2 linked regions of the Arabidopsis thaliana genome follow. The protein of the gene in region 1 interacts with the protein of each later gene in a pairwise test. Each region holds a gene or a part of one and is shown on either strand. Other genes may lie near its edges.

The links.
Region 2: the proteins of HSP18.2 (region 1) and AT5G66240 interact in a two-hybrid assay, tested with the Arabidopsis thaliana proteins (one large-scale study listed by BioGRID).

What each region holds. Positions count from the first base shown.
Region 1 is NC_003076.8:24,060,185-24,063,877, reverse strand, and holds HSP18.2 (heat shock protein 18.2), read right to left. Parts: upstream 1,556-3,693; 5' UTR 1,247-1,555; coding exon 761-1,246; 3' UTR 578-760; downstream 1-577. Other genes in the region: VIP2 (VIRE2 interacting protein 2), read right to left, coding at 2,142-2,201, 2,292-2,430, 2,520-2,561, 2,659-2,711, 2,800-3,210, 3,362-3,442, 3,545-3,633.
Region 2 is NC_003076.8:26,464,220-26,469,054, forward strand, and holds AT5G66240 (Transducin/WD40 repeat-like superfamily protein), read left to right. Parts: upstream 1-1,954; 5' UTR 1,955-2,048; coding exon of another isoform or gene 2,049-2,055; 5' UTR 2,056-2,128; coding exon 2,129-2,224; intron 2,225-2,310; coding exon 2,311-2,411; intron 2,412-2,500; coding exon 2,501-2,601; intron 2,602-2,680; coding exon 2,681-2,747; intron 2,748-2,833; coding exon 2,834-2,933; intron 2,934-3,010; coding exon 3,011-3,124; intron 3,125-3,259; coding exon 3,260-3,397; intron 3,398-3,504; coding exon 3,505-3,589; intron 3,590-3,687; coding exon 3,688-3,737; intron 3,738-3,838; coding exon 3,839-3,982; 3' UTR 3,983-4,265; downstream 4,266-4,835. Other genes in the region: AT5G66250 (kinectin-like protein), read left to right, coding at 4,831-4,835.

The sequences.
Region 1 (3,693 bases):
AAATAGACAATTAGACATATACGTAAAAGACAATCATAAGTAGCTCTCACTCGTGAATCTTTTGACTAACTGTAATTTTTTTGGTGGTATATAACTTCATGTTGGTACGAGTCCACATTCCACAATACAATAAAAATAAAAGTAAAAAACAAATTGCAAATGCAAATTGCTTATGAAATAAATACGAAGCTGACATTATTAGTACATAGACTACCAAAAAATTCTAAGAAACAGAAAGGTCGACACGATAGGAGGGTCGGTGAATCTAATCAGGTTCGCATTAATGCTTTAATTAGGCGATTCCCGATACGTAGTCTCACGTTACAATTAGTACTAAAATAAACGTAAACCGAACTTAATCTCCTCATTATGTGCCATGTTTTAAATCATTTGTTTTGCGGTTATTACGCTTACTTTTTTCTACATCTTTATTTTATAAAATAGATCATGAAATAGCATGATGAAGGGAGGTTTATAGGTCCCTCGCCTCGTTTTACTCTATGAGCCCATCTTATCTTTAATCATATTCCATAGTCCATACCATAGCACATACAGTAGTTATATGCTGCAGAAGAGATCCAACAAAACATTCACAATGGATTATAGAAACATTTGTTTATTCATTATAATGAGATCTTACATTCATTTAATATTAGAAAAAGCCACAAATTCATAACACAACAAGCCAAGAAAAAAACACAAACTTAAGCACACAAGCTTTTTATTTGACACACCAAATATTTCATCTTCATCTTCATATTCAATTAGCCCCGGAGATATCGATGGACTTGACTTGAGGCTTCTTCTCAGGCGCTTTCGGAACCACAACCGTAAGCACACCATTCTCCATTGTTGCCTTCACTTCTTCCATCTTTGCATTCTCCGGTAACCTAAACCTTCTCATAAACTTCCCACTAGCTCTCTCCACACGGTGCCACTTATCGTTCTTCTCTTCGTTCTCCTTGCTCCTCTCTCCGCTAATCTGCAGAACGTTCTTGTCTTCAACCTCAACCTTGACTTCTTCCTTCTTCAGGCCTGGCAAGTCCGCTTTGAACACATGTGCCTCCGGCGTTTCCTTCCAATCCACTCTTGCGTTTGTAAACGCTGCCACATCACGAGCGGTTGAAGCGTTTGCCAACGCAGAAGATGGCGTGAAGAATCCTTCGAATGGATCCCATAAGTCTTGCGAGAACGGATCAAAGACGTTTGATCTGCGTCCTCCAAAAATGCTTGGAATGAGAGACATTGTTCGTTGCTTTTCGGGAGACTTTTGGTTCTTGATTTTCCTGCTGATTTGATCTGATTAGCAAAGGACATATTTATAGGGAAGTTAGAGGATGAAGAGAGAATGTTCTTCGAGTTTCTTGAATAGAATAGAAAATGCTCCTTTTTCTAAAACCTTCGCTTGGAGTCTTTAGAACACATACACAATGATCACTGTGGTGAAATGACCAGATTTTTCTTGGCATTTCAGGAAGTTTCGTTTGTTGAAACAAGACCGAAATGCAATCCTTGGTTACAATTAAAACTACGTGCCGTTTTGCTTTGTTGTTGTATTATCCTCTTCGAGATACGGGCTCAGTGAAGCGGATCTTCTTTGCAAAAGCCCATTTCTTAATAGGTCGGAAGTGGAATTTAAGAAAATCTAACTCAGAGAAAAGAGGACAAAATCAAGATTTAAGATTATTAGCTTTTCGCCAAAGGAAAACTATAGTAAGTTCTCGCAATAACAGTTGGCACTAAATTTCCGAGAATGTCAACAATCTTTTAATGGATTTTTTTGTCTCCATATATACAAGAACTGAGCCACGTTTTTGTGACAAACATAGACAACATATTTACTAAACAAGTAAACTAAAAAAAAAAAAAATCTAAATGATTCGATTCAAGTATCAGTTACTGTGATCAAAATCTCAACTTATTTATTGCCTGTTCATGTCATGCTTGAACCAGAAGAAATGACCATGGAAAGTAATTGTGATTACCTTTTTGGGAAACTTGGGGTTAAAAATTGAAAATGTGATATGTCATGGTTTTGGTTTCTAATCAATAGAACTTGCATGAAAGAAAGAAAGAAAGAGAAATGAAGAGAAAAGCTTTACATTGTAAAGATGCTACTAATTGAACAAACCTACTTGTCGTCAAAGCTGCAGCAAGCTTGGTCTCTTTTCCATAAGCTCGTACTTGATAACAAAATGTTCCTGCGATAACCATCACCAGCAAAATTCACTCATAACACTGCAAATTCGAGAACAAGGAAATAGATATTCCTGCAATAATCGTCGGCTTACCTTTCTCACTGTTTTGAACGAATTTGGATCAAGGTATTCGTATGTTCCTCTTTCATATGTAGCTGCCCTGACTAAAGGTTCCCCGACTCTGAAGAACCATACTCTGAGTTCCTTGTGGTAAAACCAACCTCTTTCGTAACTGCAACATGTCAATCGAACTCAAAAGTCTCAGCCAAAGAGAGCGGAGTAAACGAATAGATCAAAGATTACAGTAGAGAAAAAACATACAGTTCATCTGCTGCGTACAGCTGTGCTTCATCTTTTGGCATACTGGAACAATAATTAGAGCAAAGTAATAAGTTTAAAAGCCCAAGGTTAATTTAGGAGTTGGGCAAATGTGACGCTGAATGCTGATCTAATAACAGACCTGTAAAATGTGTAGAACAATAACTCGTAGGAGAACCTTTTGAAACTAGCTCGCTGCAACAAACGGAAATAATGACACATTTGTTAACAAAATCGAGAAAATACTTTGTTGGTACTACTCGCAACAACAGAGGGAACTTACAGTTAGAGGCGGAGGTTCTGTGGCGTAGTAACAATTTGGTACTGTGAACTCGACCTCGCTCTTTGCCGGTTCATTTGTCCAAGGAGACGCAAATGTCTTGTAGAGATTTCCAGTTGAATTCAAATCCAATCCTAGCGTCGTCAAGTCGATGCCAAGAGCAAGTGAGGTCAATTCAGGGTTGCTCCTGTTTAGTACGTCTAACAAGCCAAGCAAGCAAAAAGGATCTGCCTCTGACTGTGTCGATTTCATCTCAGAATCTCTAAATTGGTTGATTGATGACATCTGTTGCACAGGGAACTGGGATTGATTTTGATGTTGCTGATACTGCTGAATAAGCTGATCATAACCAATACTGGAAACTGCATTAGGCGAGCTTAGAGGTCTAAGGCCAAGACCCTGTAGCCCACCAGTCTGGTATTAAATAAGAATTAAATGATAAGATACGGTAGTTGGAGCAAGTGTGGCCCAACCACATGATGCAGTACCATAATAATATGAGATATGCAAATTGAAGAAAGTTCCGGCTTGTATACATATAGGGATAGGAGAGACTGCCACTCACAGATGAAGTATGTTGTGGCTGTTGTTGTGGACGATGTGATGAATATGTTGCTCCCAAGTTGAAACCACCAGATCTACCCATCTGCAAATTTGCAATATCCAAACATTAATTCACATCAACAACCATATCAACAGAAAAAGGCAGGACAACACTTTGTTAACTTCGAAACAGTCTAAAGCTTACAGAAAAGTTTTGAGAGTGCATCATTGACATAGCATTGTCATGCAGTTGTTCTTTTTGATGCAAATCCATAGGATACTCAGAATTACCACCTGCAACAAATCTACTACGCTTGTGAATGATCCAGCAGGTTTAGCTTACATCATTAAGAA
Region 2 (4,835 bases), 2.4 Mb from region 1:
AAAAACTATGTGGTTCTCTGTTGTTATCAACATAAACCACTGTACTTGGTCAATTGATACATACAAGATGAATCTATTGATAAAGAATTTGATATCCATGAGCTGTATTTTCGACATAGACCTGGTCTCAATTAACAAATATATATCTCTTTATTAAACCATCCAAATTTGTCTATATCTAGGGTGATCATATCCATTATACTATTATGCATCTCTTTCAATTTTGGTATTGGCCGGTGAGTCGGCTCAAATGTTGTAACAAGGCAATGAAATGTATAAATAAGGTTTAATTGTGTATATACAGATGCTCGCTAAAAGTTATGTGAGATTATATTGGTGAATTCTTGCACATGTGACCATGTGAAAATCATCAAACGAGGTCAGTAAAGACTGACCCGCATTCTCTATTCATTAAGTATGCAACAAATCCTTAGGACAAGTCCTTTAACTCTGCCCCATCTTGTAAATCCTTTCATAGACACAACTCTTCCCTTGCCCATTCTATATAAGTATCAAGTATGCATATATCTACTTGTATATGTTTTTGTGACTGTTTTATTTTCTGGAAAAATGAGCCACCTAACAAATAAAAATGCTTTAAATGGGCTATTTGCATGCGAATGAGACCATCTCCATTGGGAGTATCTCATAAGAGTTTCTCACAATTAAAAAAATAAAAATAATGAAAATGAAGGAGAGAGAGTGTATAAAGTTTCTCACTTGAGAAACTCTGAGATACTCTGTACAACCCATCATGACAATTCTCATCTTACTATTGGTTCAATTTTTTAACAAAAATACTTTTTTAATCAAATAATCAAATTATAATATAATATTAATATTTATTTTGTTGAGAAACTTTGTGGGTTTCTCATGGATGGAGATGCCCTTAAAATGTCCCGACCATGTTATAAACACACACATTAAATGTACCATTCACCAAAACTTAAACTTGACCAGCCTTAAAAGGATTTTATATCTTTGATATTGGAACTTGAAAGTCTCATCACTTAGAGATTGTACTAATAAAATATGCAAAAGACAAGACTATTTGACAATAAAACTGCGCCTCCCTTGGATCATAATTAGATTCTCGTGTATAAATAAAACCCCCACATGCGACAGCTGAAGAGGAAGGAAACACTTAATCATCAGAGCAGCTTGTAGATGAAGACCAAGAACTCTGGCGCCGGATGTGTCCCCCGTGTAAAAACCAACTCCAGAGCCACTGGTAATCGGGAGACTAGTGATCTGAATCTCCTGGACCGTTTTCGCGAAGCTGTTCTCCGCCTCATCATGATATCTGCTGTCTCCAAGTCCACATCTCGCCGTCATAACAGACAGACGCCAATCCAAAAGTACTACAACCCCACTGATACTTATCACAGCGAAGCCGTGGCTGACTGTATCGAGTTTATCAGAACCAAGAAGGCCATCATCCACCAGGAAAACGTCCCCTAACACCCTCACTTCTTATATTCTTCATTGTCACCTCTTGTTTGATTAGCAAATTATAAATTGGTGGAATAAAAGCTACCCTACGTGTATACGCCTTGCTTAATATTTTTGGGATTATATATTAGTATTAATCATTTTCTTAAGTTACTCTTCAGTCTTCATAAGTTGACATCAAAACAAATCATTACAAATTTACGACCAACCTTTTTATAGTATCCTGTACCGTAAAAACGATTACTAAAAGAAGAATGAATGTATGTTACTGTATTAGTTACCAATATAATATGCATCGTGTAACTTCAAATTTGGTATAGTGGTAGTTGTAAATATTGGTTATCATGTTCAATTGTAATAAGTTTGTAACCAGTTGATGGTAAAGTCAACGATCCACGGCTTTGCTGGATGTTGCCATGTTGGAATGGAGAAGCGCATCATTTGGGCCCATATTTAAAAGCCCATACTCAAAAAGTTGGCCCACATAGAAAATCGTTGGCATCAGTTAAGGCGGTGGAAGACGTCGATCCCTAAAGTCGAAGCCCTTGTTAGGGCTTCTATACATCACCGGCGATATTGGTTTACGCGTCGGAGAGATGGTTGGTGAGTGTTATTGATGACACGAGATTTCAATTCTCGGCGGTGTAACGTGAAGTCTTAACAATTTCATTGTCCAATGGTGGAATTTACAGAGAGAGAGGACCGAGTTTCTTTGGAACTCAGCGAAGAAATTATACAGAGCATGGAACCTGGCGCCGTTTTCAGAGACTATGTAATTTTTCCTTCCCTTCTCGAAGCTTTCTTCTTTTGTTCCTGTTATTATAATGGGATTTTAAAGGATGGAGCTTTTCTTTTCAGAATTGCAGGATCAGCTCAATTGACTTTCACAAAACTTCGACTTGTATGGTGACAGCTAGCGACGATGACTCAATTCGTCTCTATGATGTTGCCAGCGCCACGTGAGTTCCAAACCCCAAACTCTGTCTTGAGTATTGCTCTATAAGACATTCCAACTATATTTTCAGTGTTTTCTGTTTTCTTGTTTCAGATGTCTGAAGACAATTAATAGCAAAAAGTATGGTGTTGATCTTGTTTGCTTCACTTCTCATCCTACTACTGTCATCTACTCTTCCAGAAACGGATGGGACGGTGAGCCCAAATTCATGTGCACATTGCTTTTCCTCATTATCTGATTTGCTTTAACTAACTTTTATATCTGGTTGGTTAGACTCTCTGAGGCTTCTCTCTTTGCACGATAATAAGTACTTGCGCTACTTCAAAGGACATCATGACAGGTTTGTTTCTTTTCTGATTCTTGTTTGATCAGCTTATGTTTTCCTTCACAAACCGGATGAACTTAACCAATTTATGCTGTACACAGAGTTGTTTCGCTTAGCTTGTGTTCTGGTGGGGAATGCTTCATCTCCGGTTCCCTTGATCGTACTGTTTTGCTTTGGGATCAAAGGGTCGAGAAATGCCAGGTAGATTACCTTTCTCTACCCTAGGTGCTTATGGAGGTCTTACATCTAATAAAATTGACCATTTGGGTTAACCACAGGGTCTCTTACGAGTCCAAGGAAGGCCTGCTGCAGCATATGATGATCAAGGGTTAATTTTTGCAATTGCCTTTGGTGGCTACATAAGAATGTTTGATGCCCGTATGTACGAAAAGGTTTGTTCTTGACAAAAGCTACCAATGATCCTGTTATGTCTCTAGCAGCTTGATGGACCACCTGTGCTGTATTCACATTTTCTTATTTACATTGAACGTTTATCTTTTTCTGATTTGGATAAGTTGCTTTTATAGGGTCCTTTTGAAATATTTTCCGTTGGTGGTGATCTTTCTGAGGCAAACGTTGTGAAATTTAGTAATGATGGAAGGCTCATGCTGCTTACAACCATGGATGGTTTTATTCATGTGCTTGACTCGTTTCGTGGAACTCTTGTATGCCTTCAGCCTCCCTTGCTCTTCGCTAGTTATGGTTTTTTCATTTACACACACATGACCAATAAATAAACTGGTTTATGTAACTCTTTTGTGGTACATTGCAGCTGTCCACATTTAGTGTGAAACCAGTAGCTGGAGAATCTACATTGGATGCAGCCTTTAGTCCTGAAGGGATGTTTGTTGTTTCAGGTAACCTTGAGTTTTACCTGATTCGGATGATGCATGCACACACTCACACACTTCCTTCATGTGAAATAACTTGTTCTGTTTTTGTCATGGTTTGGTAGGTTCAGGTGATGGTAGTACCCATGCATGGGGTGTAAGGAGCGGAAAACAGGTTGGACTAGCAATACAGCCATAGTTTGGTGTACATAGTTTGTCACTGGAAACTTTGCTTTTGTATAGTTTTGAGTGTTGATTGGATTATTGTATGTGTAGGTACATAGTTGGATGGGTTTAGGGAGTGAGCCCCCAGTCATTAAATGGGGTCCAGGAAGTCCCATGTTTGTGACAGGCTCTTCCGAACTTGCTTTTGTTATACCCGACTTATCGAAATTGCCAGCTTATGCCATTCGGAAATAGGACGACTATCACGTCTGTGCCATGTAAATGAGGCCTCATTTGGCCTTTTGGTTTCAGACTTTGTTGTGGGTTATGCCGGTAACTTATCCCTTGCACTCTGATTAATATATATTTGGGTCTTGTAACATGAAGATAAACCCCAAGTCTTTCTAATGTTGTAATTCGTGTAATTTACAAGTTTGACTGTTTCTGACTGATTCTTCCGGGAAGCAATCGATCTGACTGAGAGCTTGGGTCGAAGTTAAAATGGTGGGCCGGCACAATATTTAAGTAAAAGCCCAATAAGGTCCAAACTCTAACTAATTTATAGCAGTTAAGAAAGTTGGTTTAGGGAAACTTTATGCCAAACTAAATTTATTCTCCTTGGCGTCTTGTTGTGTTAATCCTCAAGCAAACGACCCGTTTCTGTCGCCAAGTCAACCCGACCCGACTTCGTTCCCATCGGTTGATCGGCCGGGACCTGATTGCGTTTAGCCTCCCGAAATCTACGGGCAAAGTTGATCCCTCTGGGTTTGTCATTTGATATCCTCTTTTCCCGTACCGCGCGTTTATGATTCTGATTACGTTCTTGGTTGTTTGCGATTGATCCGTTTAGGATTTTCTCTGAGTCCATCGCTTATTGAATCGTCAAGGCTTTTTCTTGTTTGACTTTGGAATATCGAATCTGCTCAATACTCCACCAAATTATCAAACTTGGTGTTCTTTGTTGCTCAATACTCCACCAAATTATCAAAACTTGGATGTTCTTTGTAGCTCAATTACCAAATTAATAAGTTGCATTCTTCTTTGTTGCTTGTTAGCCTTTTCATCGAGTTTCGTTTCTGCGATACTATTTTGTTTAGGATAGTATGGC